2 linked regions of the Drosophila melanogaster genome follow. Changing the gene in region 1 together with any one later gene gives a genetic interaction. Each region holds a gene or a part of one and is shown on either strand. Other genes may lie near its edges. The genes, in order: crq and Trpml.

Region 1 (9,083 bases):
CCCTCTCATTACACTTTTGCTATTTTACAAAATTCTAAACTAAAATTAAATTGTTTTCGCACAACTTTTTTGAACAAAGTCATCTCTTGAATTAGGGGCGTTCCCAAATCAAAGTCGCCCTGTTAGTTAGGCATTTAAAAACTAGAGTACAGCCGGCGAGCACTTTTATTGGGGATGAAACATGGGTATTCACAGTCCATTGTATATGCGATTGATGGAGGATTGGTCGAGTATTTTCTTGAGCGCTAGAATTAGAAACGTTTATTAATGAAACAATTACTCTTGTGATAATGTATATGCTAACCTTCCTTGTCCTCCTCCGTAAGATCCTTCTTGGGGAACTCCACATCGAAGGTGATGTACAGGTTGCCGGTGAGGTTGTTGTTCTCAAAGTTGGGCATGCCCTCGCCCTTCTTGCGGATTCCTGCGCCAGTTATCGACAGCTGAGCCAAGGTTGCAATAATGCAGCCTATCGATTGTCTTAATATAATAGTTTTCAAATTAAATTATTTCTGAGACAATCAAAAAATCCCTTTTAAAAACAGTAAATCAAAAATAGTAGCTTCCGCAAAGTTGTATATAATTTAAATCCGCTTTATTTTGTGGGGGTTGGTTTTTGTTGCAATTCCTTTTTGTCGGCAGGAACCGCCTTAATAGTTCCCTCTCATTACACTTTTGCTATTTTACAAAATTCTAAACTAAAATTAAATTGTTTTCGCACAACTTTTTTGAACAAAGTCATCTCTTGAATTAGGGGCGTTCCCAAATCAAAGTCGCCCTGTTAGTTAGGCATTTAAAAACTAGAGTACAGCCGGCGAGCACTTTTATTGGGGATGAAACATGGGTATTCACAGTCCATTGTATATGCGATTGATGGAGGATTGGTCGAGTATTTTCTTGAGCGCTAGAATTAGAAACGTTTATTAATGAAACAATTACTCTTGTGATAATGTATATGCTAACCTTCCTTGTCCTCCTCCGTAAGATCCTTCTTGGGGAACTCCACATCGAAGGTGATGTACAGGTTGCCGGTGAGGTTGTTGTTCTCAAAGTTGGGCATGCCCTCGCCCTTCTTGCGGATTCTAGCGCCGGGCCACGTTACCTTCTCTCTCGTGACGGGCACCAGGTGTCCATCAAGGTGCTTGATCTCCATGGAGAAGCCGACAAGGGCATCCTGCAGACTGATGGTCACGTTCGTGTACAGATCATCATTCTTGCGCAGGAATCGCGGATGCGGCATTTGTTGAACCCGCACAATGAGGTCGCCGGGCTCCCCATCGATATGTGGCTCCCCCTCGGCCACGAACCTCGTCTCTTGGCCGTCGACCATGCCCTGTTCCACCTCGATCTCCAATGTGCGCTCCTCGTTGACTAGCTTCACGTTGGGACACTCGTCGCACACCGTCTGTTGGATCATCTGGAAGCGCCCGGGTCCAAGGTTCCGGGTGACCATCTCCTGGCGGCAGTTGCATTTCCTGGTGCCTGAGGCGGGTTTCGTTACAGGCTTGTTCCTCACAATTTCCACAAAGTTTCCGGAGTATAGCTCCTCCAGGGAAACGTACAAGTCCATTACGATATCGGCGCCTCGCGGAGCATCTTGCTGCTGGCCATCACCACCGAAGTGAAAGCCGAAGTCCCCAAAGAAGCTAGAGAACGGATCACCACCGTGATCCATCATGCCCTCCTTCTTGAGGCATTCCTCGCCGCAGCGGTCGTAGGTCTTCCGTTTGTCCGGATTGGAGAGGACTTCGTAGGCCGCTCCCAGGTCCTGGAACTTTGTGGAGGCATCCGGGTCGTCCTTGTTCTTATCCGGATGCAGCTCCTTGGCCAAACGGCGATACGCCTTCTTCACTTCGTTCGTGTTGGCGTTTTTCTTTACGTTCAGTATTTTGTAGAAGTCCCGGCCGGCAAATGACTCCTCCACCAGCAAGAGGGACAGCTGAATTATAACCAAGCACTTGATAAGCTGCATTTCGTTTTTGATCCTGTTTGATTCAGCAATTCATTCTTTTTAACCAGCTGATTCGAAATACGATTTTAAATGCTGGCAAAAGTGTAAAAAAATTGTAGTTGTCGCCGCTGGCAGCTTTGTTTGTGTGTGTGAGTCGTGGTCTGCGCTGATTGGTTGGCACTGTCGTTAGGGTTGTCACCACTTCTCTAACAGAACAGCTGTTTCGCATTACAGTCAATCCAAAAACTGTGGCAACGTTGCTTACAGTGCTGTTACAGCGCATATAAACGCTTCTGGTCACACTCGCCCAGCGAAGATAAAGAAATAAATTGTTTAATCCAATTTAGCCCAGCAAACTGCAAGTTTGCAGTTTATCTTTCTCTGCTTGCCCTCTTCGGCAACGCGAAAGTGCCTTTTTTTTAGTTGGATAGCAGCTTTCAGATCAATTCCAAAGGCGCTTCCCACGCTTGAGTTTAGCTGTAAAAGTAATAAGAAGGGAAGTCTGACAATTTGAATCCCTTTCGTACGGTACTTTTGCGATTCCAGGCACCAAAGGTAAAGGGACTAAGCGATCATCGAAGCGGGAAGTCCCAGAAAAATAAATTTACTCCGAACTATGGCATAATAAATGTCAAGGCCAAAGCAAAACAATAACAGAGCCATCAGAAGCTAATGCTAAAAGACGTAGTTGTGTGTGAGATAAAAGGTGAGTAATTCATCACTTTAATTATGCAGCCGGTAATGTGCAATAATACGTGAATATAACTGTACGCCTAATTCGCAACTGGTGATGTCAACACTTTAAGCGCAAGTTGATCGAGGTTTAAGTTCAACCAGAAAGCAAACATTTCACGGGATGCAAGCTATCGCCCTCAAAAGAGAGACAACATGCAGTAAACATATATAGTGCATACACAATGCAGTTTACAACAAACTATTTTAAAAACCATTTAATATTAATCAATTATTATTAATATTAATTCGCCTTAAACAGTTAACATGAATTCTCGAGTTATCCTACTGGGACTCGTACAAGCTCAAAAGGCTCTACTGTAGTTCCAGACCCCCTTTTTTGCCTGTTATCAGTCGTTAAACAAAGAAATATTCATTGTAGTATAGAGCCAGCCCAATAATCCGACAAAAACAAGACTGAGTCAGTCGACGGGAGGAAACAAAGCAGGGAATCGAAATTGCAATACGATATGCACCAGACTTACGATAAAAACAGGCCCCGTTCCTATTGCATTAAAAGAACTTTGGATTACAGGACGGATCAAGGCTGATATGGTATAGTAAAGCATATTTCGACCGAATTATCAGTATCTCCACAAAGCTAATCTTATCAGTGCCATAAATAGGAACCCCTTGTGAGAACATCTTGACCAACCAACCACAGAAGCAAATAGCCGAGAAATGCGGGTATTACCCAGATAACGATACTAAACACTATCTTAGACTTGAATGAATTTGAATTGCAGACAAGCATGGACATAAATAACATCTAGGCATGAAATTACCATAATTATAAATGTTTATAATATTAAAAGGAATTTTAACTATTGTAAATCAATCTGCCATAAAACCTACTCACTCGATCAGAATAACCACCCGAGTCGATCTAGCCATCCGCCTTCGCATGAACGCTTTGATCTCGCGAACTATAAATGTTAGAAAGATAAGATTTTCATTTCTATCGCTATGCTACAAATATTTGCAACATACCCACTCTGAATACCAAAATATTAAAATTTTGTGGCAGCCAGCTACCTGAGTTACGAGTAACTGAAAGTCGAGGAATTCGAGTAGAGTGATCTCTTTTTTGTGTTTCTCCAAACGCATCCAAGTTAATGCCAATCAAGCAAATATTCCCGACTAGCAAAGTCCAGAGATTAATAAACGAACCGAGTGGTAATTGAACGTCAAGTGAACCCATTAAAAGACACACAGTAGACCGCTGGCCACCAGTTTCGCCCTGCCAGGGGACGCGTACGGTTTTGATAGTTCCGATTGTGCTAAGGCCGGAATATTTTCGATCCCCTTTGATTGAAAACTAGTAAGTTTAGGCGACCTAAACAGTGGCAAGTGCTAGAAAACTGAATAGATCTGCGGATGTCTGCACTTGAAGTTGACTGTGCGGATAAGTGGGCTGTCCCACGTAATCTTCTCCAACTGTCATGGACTGCAAAATATATTCAAAAATATACACTTATAATCGCCGATGCTTATCGAATACTTAAGCAGGGACCAGCCGGCGATAAGCCTTGGTCTTATTATTTTCAAAATTACCAACTCTGCAGGGTGCCAGGATGGGTGTACCGGGAAATAAACTAATAAAAATTCGATACGGATTATGGACATTGATTATACAAGGAAAAATAACCCCACAAACTGTCTTCACTTCCAGATGCAACTAACTGCCTAGGGCTGGATTATTCCCACCTTGGCTATTCCTTAAAAGCGTGAACCTTTGGAATCCTACGTATCCACCATGTGCTGCAAGTGCTGCGGGGAAACTCAACGAAAGGTCTGGGTCTTCGGCTTGGGATCGGTTTTCCTTTTGCTGGGAATACTAATCGTGGTCTTCTGGCCGGGTATTGCAGATAACCTTGTAGAGGATGTAAGTATATTTAGCCGTCCGAGATTGCGTATTACAGGTTCAGGGAAATATGTTTACCGAACGATAACTAAAAAAAAAAAAGATTTTCATTTCGACATACTAAAATGAACTTAATCTTTACCCAGGGCCTTACCCTCAAGCCCGGGACTGATGCCTATGAAAGCTGGCTGGAGGCACCTATCCCCATTTACCTGAGCTTTTACATGTTCAATTGGACGAATCCCGAGGACATAAGGAACCCGGACATTAAGCCAAACTTCGTGGAAATGGGTCCGTACACCTTCCTGGAAAAGCACAAGAAGGAGAACTATACGTTTTACGATAATGCAACGGTGGCATATTATGAGCGCCGCACATGGTTCTTTGATCCGGAGAGATCCAATGGCACATTGGACGACATGGTGACTGCTGCCCATGCCATTACCGCCACGGTAGCGGATGAGATGCGAGACCAGCGCAAGATCGTCAAAAAAATCATAAACTTTATGCTGAACCATGAAGGCGGAAAGTTGTACGTAACCAAGCCGGTGGGCGAATGGATCTTCGAGGGTTACCAGGATAACATTACCGATTTCCTAAACCTGTTCAACACCACAAAGATCGACATACCCTACAAACGCTTCGGGTGGCTGGCGGACCGCAATGAGTCGCTGACTTACGATGGCTTGTTTACTATTCACACGGGCACTGACGATATATCTAATCTGGGTAGACTTACCCACTGGAATGGAAAATCAGAAACTGGATTTTACGAGATGCCTTGTGGCATTGTTAATGGAACCACGGGCGACATGTTCCCGCCAAAGATGAATGTAAACGATGAGATTACGATTTTTGCCACCGATGCTTGCAGATTTATGAACCTCCGGCCCCGGGGCACATACGAGAATCACGGCCTGACCGCCACTAAGTGGGTAGGCACCGAGGAGACTCTGGACTCCGGAGAAAACTACCCTAACCAGGCGTGCTTCTGTGATGAGGCGCGATTTGATGAATGTCCCAAGACCGGTGTCGTGGAGTGCAAGGCGTGCCGAGACAAAGCACCCATTTACTCCTCCTTCCCTCACTTTTACCTAGCGGATCAGTCGTATGTTGATGCTGTCAGTGGAATGAAGCCGGAGAAGGAGAAGCACGAGTTCTTCCTAGCCGTGGAACCGATTACTGGAGTGCCTGTCCAAGTGCATGGACGCATCCAGATTAATATGATGATTGAGCCCGATGACGACTTCGAGTAAGTAAAGTAAAAGTTCATGGATAAAAACTACTCATACGATTCATACAATTACGTACATAAAAGCAAAGGTCTCAAGGAAAATGTAAGTCATAAAGTAAATTTTATTTGCAGCATATATCGTGGAGTGCAAAAGGTTTTAATGCCCATGTTCTGGTTCGATCAGTATGCAGAGCTCTCCTCCGAATTGGCATCGAAGGCCAAGGTAAGACCTAATCCATATTTGAAATGTCTTTCATTTAAGTGCCATACTTTCCATTTCAGTTGGCCATTAATTTGTCCAGTTACGGAATCATATTCGGCTATTCCATGATAGCTTTTGCCAGTGTCTTTCTCATCACCGGCATCACGCTGACTGTGACGAAAAAGTGGGTGCGGCGAACTCCCGAGGATGAGGACATACTTACCAACTAGAGCAAAATAGTTTTTAAGCTTTGCCAAAGTGCCAGGAATTGTTAACTCTCCTAGTTCATTCTGATAGTCGCCCGTCAAATGCTGTTCTTTGTCAGTTATGCGTTATGTAATATGTAAGTGATACGAATCGACGTTCGTCTTGCAGTTTGTGATAGCAAAACCTACTCTAAAAAAAAAACTAAAAACTACTCTAACTCTAAAAAAAAAACCTTACTCTATCTGCATATTACACGAATCATTCACAAGTTGAAACTTTCTGTTTGAGACTTAAGTTATCGTACTTGATAAACAATACTTCATACAACTAAAACACTCCGTGCATTTTATTTTAACGTTTTTATTTGAATTTTCATTTATTTTGAAAAGATAGTTTTTTACAATTTCTGTATGCTTTTCTGCAGGACTTTTACTTATCGTATACGATTGTTGGATGCTTTAACGATTTGCTTTATAAATGCATTATTCAAATGTTGTTTTGTAAATTAATAAATAAAAATAATTGTATACGTATATATATTTATTTATATATATGTATATATATTGGTGTATATGTAAGATATATGGCAAAAATTTTACATTTTCTCAAAGATCACATTCCTCAATTTAGCCATAGACTTTTAGTCGAGAAAAATCTACGCAAATATTTGTGACATCCATCAAAAACTCAAATTAATTTTTGCACGCACACTAACACATCCAAAAAAACAGTGGGGGATTATTAATCGAACAAAAAATAATAAACAAAGTGGATACAAAAAATAAATGATAATCATCTCTCGCTTATTACTATGGTGGGGATGGAGGGCAAGTCTAGGCACTCTTGAAATTCTTTAGTTCCCTTCGTCCAGCGATCGGAGCAAGCAAACCCATTTCAAACCATTTCATAGCCGATTTGAATGCTTTTCACTTGATTCTACCGCTGGCCCGATTCGTTGTGAGTATGTGTGTGTGTGTATAAAGAGCGACGTTGCTACGTACTAAAAAATTTGCATAGTATATGTTGCGTTGTTCTTGGTGACTAAAATAGTTATAAATTTAGTATAAGTTTAAATAAAAATCAATCACAGTTGTTTGGGCGGAAGTAGTTAGTTTTAAGTATTCGCATTTCTGGCCTAACTAAGTATTTGCAGCTAAGACTAAAGATCTACGATGTAGTTTAGTAAATTAGGTAGTGGTCGTATTTTATACTTGAGTATTGTTGCTTCCCATTTTGATAAGCTTCCTCTCTATTTCCGATGTTGTGTCATGTTGTGGTCTGTGCTGTGGTTACGTTACCAATTCCCTTAAGTGACTAGACTGGGTTCTGATTATTTGAATGTGTATTTTGAGGTTACGTTGCTCACGTCCTGTAGGCTTAAGTATTGACTCTGTGATATTCAGTTGTTTCAGTGGCTCGTGTATTTTACCATCTGAAGTTGGTGGACCTGCTAGTTTGTGTTTTTCTAAAAAACTGTCTTCGCTAGTTAAATGCATGTTAGTTCCTACTAAATAGCTATTGTTTCTGCTGTTCTGACAAATGGTTTCTCACGGTGGGTTTTCGTTTACATTTACCCTTTTGTGCCCGGCGAATCTTTACCCTTCGAAACACTGTGATCGAATTTATATAACGCTACACCACCCGATCTATGCAAATTTCCGAACGCAGAATTAGCTCTTCACCTGGGCACACTCATACATCAGCACTTCGAACAGCAATCGAACTAGAGAGAAGAGTGTCGTATTGGACCCCCAATGTCCACTTCCGTTCCGGTTTCCAATTAGCTTGTCGAGTCTAGCTGGTCTTGTTGTGCTGCTGCTGCTGCTGCTGTTGCTTCATCATGACAGCGGGATCGATCACGTAGTTGTTGGCCTCCGCCAATTGTTGGACAGGTAAAGGCGGCAGTTTGTCCTGCGGATGACGGTGGCTTACGGTAGATCCTTTTCTGGCCTTGCTTAGGGTTCCTGCTCCTGCAGAGGAGTTGGCAACTCCATTTGTGGTGGCACCTGAAGGTTGCGCACTGGAAGTGGGCATCTCCTGGCCAGTCTTCGGATTTATAACAACCTTAGTCTGTTTCAGCAAGGAGCGATCGTTGCAGAGCGCCGAGATCAGCGGCAGATCTAGATGCTTGCTCTTCTCCCGAAGAAGCGCAATGTCTAGCGCTTGGGCCTGTGCCTGGGCATGAGACTGGGCTACCATTGAAGCCTGCAGCTGGGCCAAAATGCTGTTGTTTCCCCGGTTCAATCCCAGACCAAGACCCAAGTCAGGTCTCGGACGCTCACCTGCCCACTGGGCGCCGCTGGAGGTCTTTGTTAGCGGTGAGTTCGCATGATGCGGATTCAACGTTGGGGGTTTTCGTGGTGGAATCGGGCTCATCCTGCTAGGAATTGGCTTAGAGGGTACTGAAAATCGGAGAGATTAATAAGATATCGAAATGAATCTAAATGTAAAGTTACTCACTTGGAGGTGGCTTTTCACTGGGCGCCGGCATGGGTGGTTTCTTTAGCCGTCTGTTTACATACGGTGGTGGTGGCGGCGGTGGCAGTCGTTTTCCCTTGGGCAGCAAATCTAGTGAGTTCAGAATATTGTCATCTGATCGCGATCGCGCAAACATCGAGGAAGACGAGGAGCCAGCCCCCGCCGCAGCAGCTGCTGCTAGAGCAGCCGGGTGAAGGGGAGGAGGCGGTGGAGGCTCATACGAGGAGCATAGGCTGGCCATCGAAGGAGAGTACAGGGGTGAGTATCCGGGTCCTGGAAGCTGCACATATGTATCCGATAGATTTTGGGTGGATGCATATCGTGAGTGGGTCGACAGAGTCAGTGGTAGGTAGGGGGTGCTTCTGTAAATCGCCGGCGACACCTGCATGGCCAGATATGGGTGGTGCGGTGGGGG
Region 2 (8,392 bases), on another chromosome or scaffold:
CACTTCGTGGGGGGAGCTCTCCTCGAATCCGCACAGGCCTCGCTTAGCACGCTGAATCATTCCGAAACAAACGAAACTAACTGTGATATGGATGGGGGATCGGGAGGAGTGTCAGGATCTGGATCTGGATTAGTGCGTCAACCCAATGCACTGCACAAACCGTTGGCCATGGTGCGGCCGCACCGGATTATTAGTGCTGCCCAGCTACCCCAACTGGGAGATAACGATGATGACTCCGCAGACACGCTGTTGCGGGAGTCTCGCTCCCTGGATCCCATGCCCATGCAGCAACTGCGCAAACGTCACGACAGGGTAAAGTTGCCGCCCTCGAAGTTGTCCAAGAACAATTCCCGATCGCTGGACACGGGTGTATCGCTGATCAGTGGGAATCCCAACGGTGAAGTGCACTCGAGTCAACTGGATTTGGATAACGAGATGACCGCCAACCCGGTGGATGCCACCGATGGCTACGACGATGAGCTGGGCCTTCTGATGCGCCACGACAACGGCCAACTGCCTGCTCTCCGCTATTCAGGCAGCTTTCCCAACGCTCAGATTAGCATTGTTCCTACAGGAAGGTCAGCAGGAGGAGGAGGAGGAGGAAGAGAAGGAGGTGGGAGCAACTGTGCCAAGCATCTGAACAACAACTGCAACGGAGGAGTGAACGTCGAGGATGATCTTGAGTCGCCCCTGCTGCAACGCCAGGCATCGCTGTCGGTGCCGCCAGAGGAGATGCTGGCGCACAACAAACGTTGGCACTCACTGGAGCACATGGATGGTCCCGGTGGGCATGGCGGAAATAGCGTTAGCTATGCCGCCGATATTGATAACCGCCACCCCGGAGATCTGGACTTCTTCAGCGGTTCCTCCAATCAGCATCATAGATCCAAAGCGGCTGGTGGGAGTAAGCTGACTAACTGGATGACTAACATCTTCAAGGGCAACGGCGTGCGTAGCGGTGAGGCTAGGCGAGTAGGAATCCTGCCCAGCGGTGTGCACGGCGCACGAACCGGATTCACGGATATGGCGGCATCGGCAGCAGCCCGCGATCGTGAGAGTATAGTATAGAGATAAGGAGAAGGCAGTGTAGAAACTAAGGAAGAAGGAGCAGGATGACCAGGATGAGCTAAATAGCCGGATGAGAGAGATGGAAAAGTTACTCAGGAACCGAGTCGAGCAGGAAACGATCGTCTTTTGGCTTACTTCTTTGTTTTATGTATTGTAGTTTGTATGGATCGAACGAATTGTGTGTCTGTGTTGGAAGTCATCCACCTATAAACATATACCAGCCGGTTCTTAACTCTTTGATCGCTCTGGCATTGCGGGACTCTACATATGTGTCCTATGGGTTTCCAAACTATTTTTATTCGTTTTCGAGGAAAATCCTGCGATCCCGAAGTAGAAGCGAGCAGAAGCTGAAGCGAAAATCATACATAGCATATATTTTATAACTCTACATACATACATATTAGAGAAGCCGAAAAAACCGTCTAGTCACAAGGTCTTCAGACTAGTTATTGTTTTATATAAAATAAACACACACCCACACATCTAAATGTACGTTTGTAAATGTAACACATAAACACAACGACACACATATTTATACGACGATGGAGAATCAAAATCAAATATTTTATGTAAATGTAATCGAAATTTTCTGCTTTCCATACACGATGCGCAGCAGCAAACAAATTATGCTTAAACAGAAACTAGTTAATTTATGTATTTGAAAATCAAAACGAGCGTGAAAAATGTAATGTATCAATGTGTTTTGCTAGTACGTAGTTAAGTGCGTGTGATTGTACGTAATATTTAAGTCTCTAAAGCTAAAATAATAATTATAATTAATTGAACGCGAATTGTGAGCAGAGAAGAGCGAAAATGCGCCCGATGAGAGGTGTTTTAGCTGTATGTATGTATGTATGTATATTTTTAAATGAAAATTTGTTAAATTTGCCATATATAAATACAAACGAGAAACTATTAAAAGTGTGTTTGTCCAGATATGCTTAAATGGTGCAAAATGTTCAATAGATGGTAGATACGAGGGTGAATCCTGCGGGAAAGACTAGAAACTTGGAGAACACTTCTTCTAAAAGAAACATTTTTAAAATATTCCGAGCACTGGGAACAGTTGTGTTTTGTGTTTCGACAAACATTTCTGAAGTCGTGGTGAATACAAAAAAACATGTTAAGCATATAAGAGATCACTGTAAGTGTGATCTCACGATAAGATCTCTGTAAGTTCTTGCAACTAAAGCCATCGATTCATTGGAACTCCTTTTGAAATGTTTATGCACTGGGAACAGTGAAACGTATGGGAAGACTTCGTGGGTTTTATCAAGAGTTCTTCTTGGGCAGAAAGAAAACATTTGTTTTTTCCTGTGAGTATTATATTTGCTCCAAATGATTATGTATTATTTTACGCTTTTAGTTTATTGGAACTCCTTTTGAAATGTTTATGCACTGGGAACAGTGAAACGTATGGGAAGACTTCGTGGGTTTTATCAAGAGTTCTTCTTGGGCAGAAAGAAAACATTTGTTTTTTCCTGTGAGTATTATATTTGCTCCAAATGATTATGTATTATTTTACGCTTTTAGTTTATTTTTTAACTTCAATTTAATAAGATAACTAAGCATTAGTGACAGATGTTGACATATGTAAGTACGTACGTATGTTTAATGTAAAATACAATGTCAAAAATGAGGTAGCAGTTTTCAAGACCGCAAAATAAAGTTGATTTCTCATAAATTCAAAAATATAAAAAAAGGAAATAGTCATATTTCTTGAACATAAAAGAATAATAAATGGATGGACCTCAATATAATTTTGAATGTACGTCCATGTAGCGTCGATGAGTTAGCTGCGTTAGAGGAACGGCGGAATTTGGAATACGGGGAAGTTTTTAATTAATTATTTTTTCGATATTTAGAGCTGAGTTCTATAAACTGAACTCGTACATAGATAGTTAGATCTTTTCTTTCTTAACATTATTTAATTTTTTTTGGAATTCACCTCCAAATAACGGAAAAAAATAAATAAATAGGAAAGTTCTCCATGTTTCATGTTTCACCGTGCTGCACTTGAATTTTGACTACCGATGAAAAGGCGCGCGATTTAAATAATCGATGATTGCAAGCAACTATCGATGCTGAACTCTATTTGGAACAGTCGATTATATCGAATAAACATCTGTAATCGTTTAAACCTATTGAAAACAAAGCAATTTTCGTGGTCTTTTGGCCAGTATTTAATATAAATTCGCTGGCAAAAGTCGCGTATTAATTGCAAAAGAACACATATTTACCTCCCCTCCCCCGATTGCTTGTTGCGCCTGTGCGGATTCTTCTTTTGCATGTCGACTGGGCGGGCAAAAGAAAGTTAGCACGGAGAACAACAACGCAGGTGACTTGACCTCGCAACGAAGGAGGAGCACATCGAGATGCAGAGCTACGGCCCCGGAGCCCAGACAGCTCCGGCCGTCAAGCGCCGCACGGACAGCTACGAGGCTGCCCAGCAACAGCAGCAGTCGCCGGAGAGCGACGAGGAGTACGTGAACACCAGGATACTGCGGCGCCAAGTGCAGCTGCAGTCCACTCCGGTGGCCCCGGTGGTGCCCATGCCCATATCCGCCGGTAGTGGCACTGCCCCACCCTCCGTGGATGGCCGCGAGGAGCAGCCCGAATTCCCCGGATCCTCGGCTGCATCTTACCAGGAGGAGCGAATGCGCAGGAAGCTTCAGTTCTTCTTTATGAACCCCATTGAGAAATGGCAGGCCAAGCGGAAATTTCCGTACAAGTTCGTTGTGCAGGTGAGTTCACATCCGGGTTTCATTTGCAGTTCACATCTGGATGAATGCTAGTTAATTGAAGTCGTGTGATGCGCGGCGTTTGGGGGCGGAACTCGGGTGACACATCTGAACCACTTATTTAGGCATTTCTCTTAATTTACAGACGCCTTTAAACAGCCGTCTCCGATCTTCAATGTTTGTCTAGATTTCGAGCATGTAAAATGGGGTAGAGTCAACACAGTCTTGATTACTTTGCTTGCATTGTTAAGCCCCTCCACTCTTATCGATGCCTTATCTGATAGGTCCAACTATTGTTAGCACAATACGTAATAAACAAAGTGAAAATTCAAGAATTTTATGGCTAGAAACTGCGTGTGGACGCTTTTGTAGAACCCAAAAAGTTATTTAATATGCGATAAACATCGTGGTCAGGGGGATTTCTTTTGTGCGATTTTTAATGATTAATGCGAAAATGTTATGACTAGTCTTTAAGTCTACACTTAGTCTCTAAGGTCTACAACTAAATTAGATTTCCTGTAGATACCCAATAAATATAGTCTGACGCATGCTCTAACATAATTCGGCTTCTATTTATAGCCCAGCCTCTAGATCTCTGAACTGGCGACCAAGAAAAGGTCCGTCCCCTGAGGCCAAAAGGCAAATAGAAACTTTAAAAGTTATACTATAAACATTTCTTAGCAACTCAAGAATTTTTCTCTTAGATTGTAAAAATCTTTCTGGTGACGATGCAATTGTGCCTTTTTGCCCACTCGCGGTATAACCACATCAACTACACGGGTGATAACCGATTTGCCTTCTCACATCTATTCCTGCGCGGCTGGGATTCTTCCCGGGAGGTGGAGAGTTATCCGCCTGCTGTGGGTCCCTTTGCTCTATACCTCAAATCGGAGTTCTTCGACACTGTGCAGTATGCAGTCAATGGCTACGCGAATGTAAGCCGATCTATTGGACCATACGACTACCCGACGCCCAATAACACAATGCCGCCACTAAAGCTTTGCCTGCAGAACTATAGAGAGGGCACCATATTTGGCTTTAATGAGTCCTACATTTTCGATCCACATATCGACGAGGTGTGTGAGCGACTACCTCCGAACGTAACCACCATTGGGGTGGAGAATTACCTCAGGCAGCGCGATGTGGAGGTCAATTTTGCATCTCTTGTCTCCGCACAGTTGACGTTCAAGATAAAGACGGTTAATTTCAAGGCAAATGGTGGACCTCTTTCTGCTCCTGATTGTTTTCGGTTTGACATTTCCATAACGTTTAACAACCGAGACCATGACGGGCAAATGCTGCTCTCACTGGATGCGGAGGCGACGCGGCTGAAGTGCCACGGAGCAACGGACTTCATATCAGACGCCAATTTCGATTCCATGCTGCGAAGCGTACTTAATATATTCGTCCTACTAACATGCGCACTATCCTTTGCACTCTGTACAAGGGCTCTGTGGAGAGCATATCTGCTGAGATGTACAACTGTCAACTTTTTCCGTTCGCAATTCGGCAAGGAGCTGAGCTTTGACGGCCGACTGGAATTCGTTAACTTTTGGTGAGTCCTTTGTTTTGTGTTATAAAAACCTCGGCTATATTGGCAACAAGTATTACCCATAATGCTGAAGGTTAGGCCGACGTAAACCCAAAAATTATCAGAAAGGTTGCAGACTATAATAAACCGTTTTGCTTTCGCAGGTACATCATGATCATTTTCAATGACGTCCTTTTGATCATTGGATCAGCTCTAAAAGAGCAAATCGAGGGAAGGTACTTGGTGGTGGACCAATGGGATACCTGCTCGCTTTTTCTGGGAATTGGCAACCTGCTTGTTTGGTTCGGAGTGCTGCGCTACCTCGGCTTCTTCAAAACCTACAACGTTGTGATACTGACGCTGAAAAAGGCGGCACCAAAGATTCTGCGCTTCCTTATCGCCGCCTTGCTGATCTATGCTGGATTTGTGTTTTGCGGCTGGCTGATCTTGGGACCCTATCACATGAAGTTCCGATCGCTGGCTACAACGTCAGAGTGCTTGTTTGCGCTGATAAACGGTGATGATATGTTCGCCACCTTTGCCACGCTTTCCAGCAAGGCCACCTGGCTGTGGTGGTTCTGCCAGATCTACTTGTACTCGTTCATATCCTTGTACATTTATGTGGTCCTGTCGCTGTTCATTGCCGTCATAATGGATGCCTACGACACGATAAAGGCGTATTACAAGGATGGCTTTCCCACCACCGATCTCAAGGCATTTGTCGGAACGCGCACTGCAGAGGACATTAGTTCTGGTGTCTTCATGACCGACCTGGACGACTTCGACCAGACGAGCTTCCTTGACGTGGTGAAGAGCATTTGCTGCTGTGGACGGTGCGGTCGGCATCAGGAGCCCGCCCAGCCCAACAGTGGTTACACCAGCCTTTCTAGTATTATGAAGTAACTGGGTGCGCTATGTCGACCCGCAGGTCTTCATTTTGTTTTGTTTTGTCAGCTTTATGTGTGTAGTCAAACTTGTTGTTAGCTTTTTGTATTAGTTTGTTAATTTGCCAAAGCACTTGAACCGAGATAAGAGAAACCATAACGTACGTACCTATGAGAAATTCCAAAAGCAGCTGCTCTGATCACAAACAGCGGGCATGTTCCGATTTTATCTTTCGCAGCAATGGCTTTAATTCGGTTTGCAGAAATATAATTCTGACTGAAATTCATTTTTCTTCAATACAAAAATTACAAAATGTATAAGACCAAAAGGAAAAACTAAATGTAAGGCGAATTTGTGTCATTTCTGCGAAAGTAAAATCCGAAAAATGACTAAGAAAGGGCACCAAGCAACGCTGTACGCTGGGAAACCACAAAGTCGCAAATTTGTTTTTGTAACGCGAGATATTAAGTGTGTGATATAATGTGGAACCAGAATCGGAGAACAATGGAAATTATATTAGAGGGAGCTATTTTTGTTAGCGATATCGACATGGGCCTGGTCAAGATCTTCCATGAAAACGAATGCATCCGAATCGAGTTTTCATAGAAATCTGAAAGTCACAGCAAAAAATTGTATAAAACTGCACTGGTCGACAAAATGAGATTTTTGGCAGTCTAAGCAAATAGTTATTTTAGAAAGTGTTTAGTTCGGCATAACACAACATCGATTTTTGTCGACTTGTGTCAATTTCAGAAGCCATAGATAAGGAAACATTAGGTAACTATATTTTATGTGTACAATGAAAACTTTGTATTTATAACCAAAAACCACAAACACAATAAACTGTTTATAGAACGATTGAATTGAACAAATTGCACTTTGAACCAAAATTTATTACAACGATATGCAACAAAAATGTGTACAACAAAAATAATTAATTGTGAGCTTAACCAAAACGAGGAACAATGAAGTCTACTTTTATCTTCAGATGTAGGTGGCGCAATGTTTTAATGTTTTGACCAGGAAGACAATCGTTAAATTATTTTGTGGTAAGGATACATCCAAAACAGTCAACATAATAAGTGTCAAGAAACCAAGCGAAACATTTCTACAATCGGATAATTGCATTGCAAGAAAAGAAAACCCAATAAAAGGGAAAGGAATAAATGGTTTCACAGTAATTGGACATTTAATAATTTGGCCGATGTTAAATTTTTGCGGTTTTAAGCGTGAATTTCATTGAATGTTTTGCAAGAATTCGCCGAAACGAGATGAGCAAATTTTAATGAAATGGAAAACTGGTTCTCCAATTGACGTAAATTTCATCAGGCAGATGCTGTGCGTCTTCGTTGAAGCGGAAACCGTCCAAGCCAAAGACTTATTTTACTTAATCTTAATTGGAAATTCGAGCCGAGTGGCACCAGCCTGGCCAGTTGGCAGTCTAGCCTTATTCCTCTATGCAAATGTCAAGAGTGGCAAAAATAGACAATGACAATTCAGAAAGGTCCCTCGCCGATCCGCAAAGCACTTTGGCACACTTTAGAGTTGGAGCCACTAGAAATCAGAAAGAAACTGGAAAAAAAGCTGAATAAAACGCTCAAGTTGGTGGCAGTTCGTCACGCCTTTAGACGCCTCTCTGTCAGCTGGCAGTCGTCGAGCCACGACGTACCGCTCTGTGGGCCATAAATGGCTTTAATTTGGCTTTAAAATGATCAAGGTCGCTGCGGGTAAAAAACTGCTTTTAAATTGGAACGGCCAGACGACGCAGAGGAACTACTTAGCAGTCAAATTATAAAAAATAATCGAAGATGTATCTTTCTTCAAGTTTGTTTGAAGAAATACGAACTTGCAATACACTTTCCGGTTAATTTTAGAAAAGAAGCAAACACAGTTTCTTATTTTACTTGACATAGCTAAGATACATTCTTCTTATTGATTATTAATTGTTGAGCCATATCCATTGAATCTCCTCATGTAGAATATAATATCTATATTATTATAAAGTTCTAACTAGGCTTGAATATTTTATTGGTCAAGAAATTTGTATTCGGCATTCCACAGTCTTCGGGTGGAGACGTGTTTCTTTCAAGCTACGAATAGCAAGTTCTAAAAACTACAACAGTATAGTGAAAGTTAAACACAAAGTGTAAAGTGCAGTTTGCACAAC

Evidence for each region.
Region 2: of crq (region 1) and Trpml, changing one suppresses a phenotype caused by changing the other (phenotypic suppression), as found in Drosophila melanogaster (one study listed by BioGRID).

The regions. Positions count from the first base shown.
Region 1 is NT_033779.5:446,151-455,233, reverse strand, and holds crq (croquemort), read left to right. Parts: upstream 1-2,209; 5' UTR 2,210-2,657; intron 2,658-3,931; exon of another isoform or gene 3,932-4,004; intron 4,005-4,355; 5' UTR 4,356-4,439; coding exon 4,440-4,568; intron 4,569-4,693; coding exon 4,694-5,799; intron 5,800-5,913; coding exon 5,914-6,004; intron 6,005-6,063; coding exon 6,064-6,213; 3' UTR 6,214-6,980; downstream 6,981-9,083. Other genes in the region: shv (shriveled), read right to left, coding at 849-904, 964-1,972; ex (expanded), read right to left, coding at 7,985-8,592, 8,651-9,083.
Region 2 is NT_037436.4:19,713,120-19,721,511, reverse strand, and holds Trpml (transient receptor potential cation channel, mucolipin), read left to right. Parts: upstream 1-3,183; 5' UTR 3,184-3,443; coding exon 3,444-3,812; intron 3,813-4,513; coding exon 4,514-5,364; intron 5,365-5,504; coding exon 5,505-6,243; 3' UTR 6,244-7,094; downstream 7,095-8,392. Other genes in the region: CG42637 (uncharacterized protein), read left to right, coding at 1-1,068.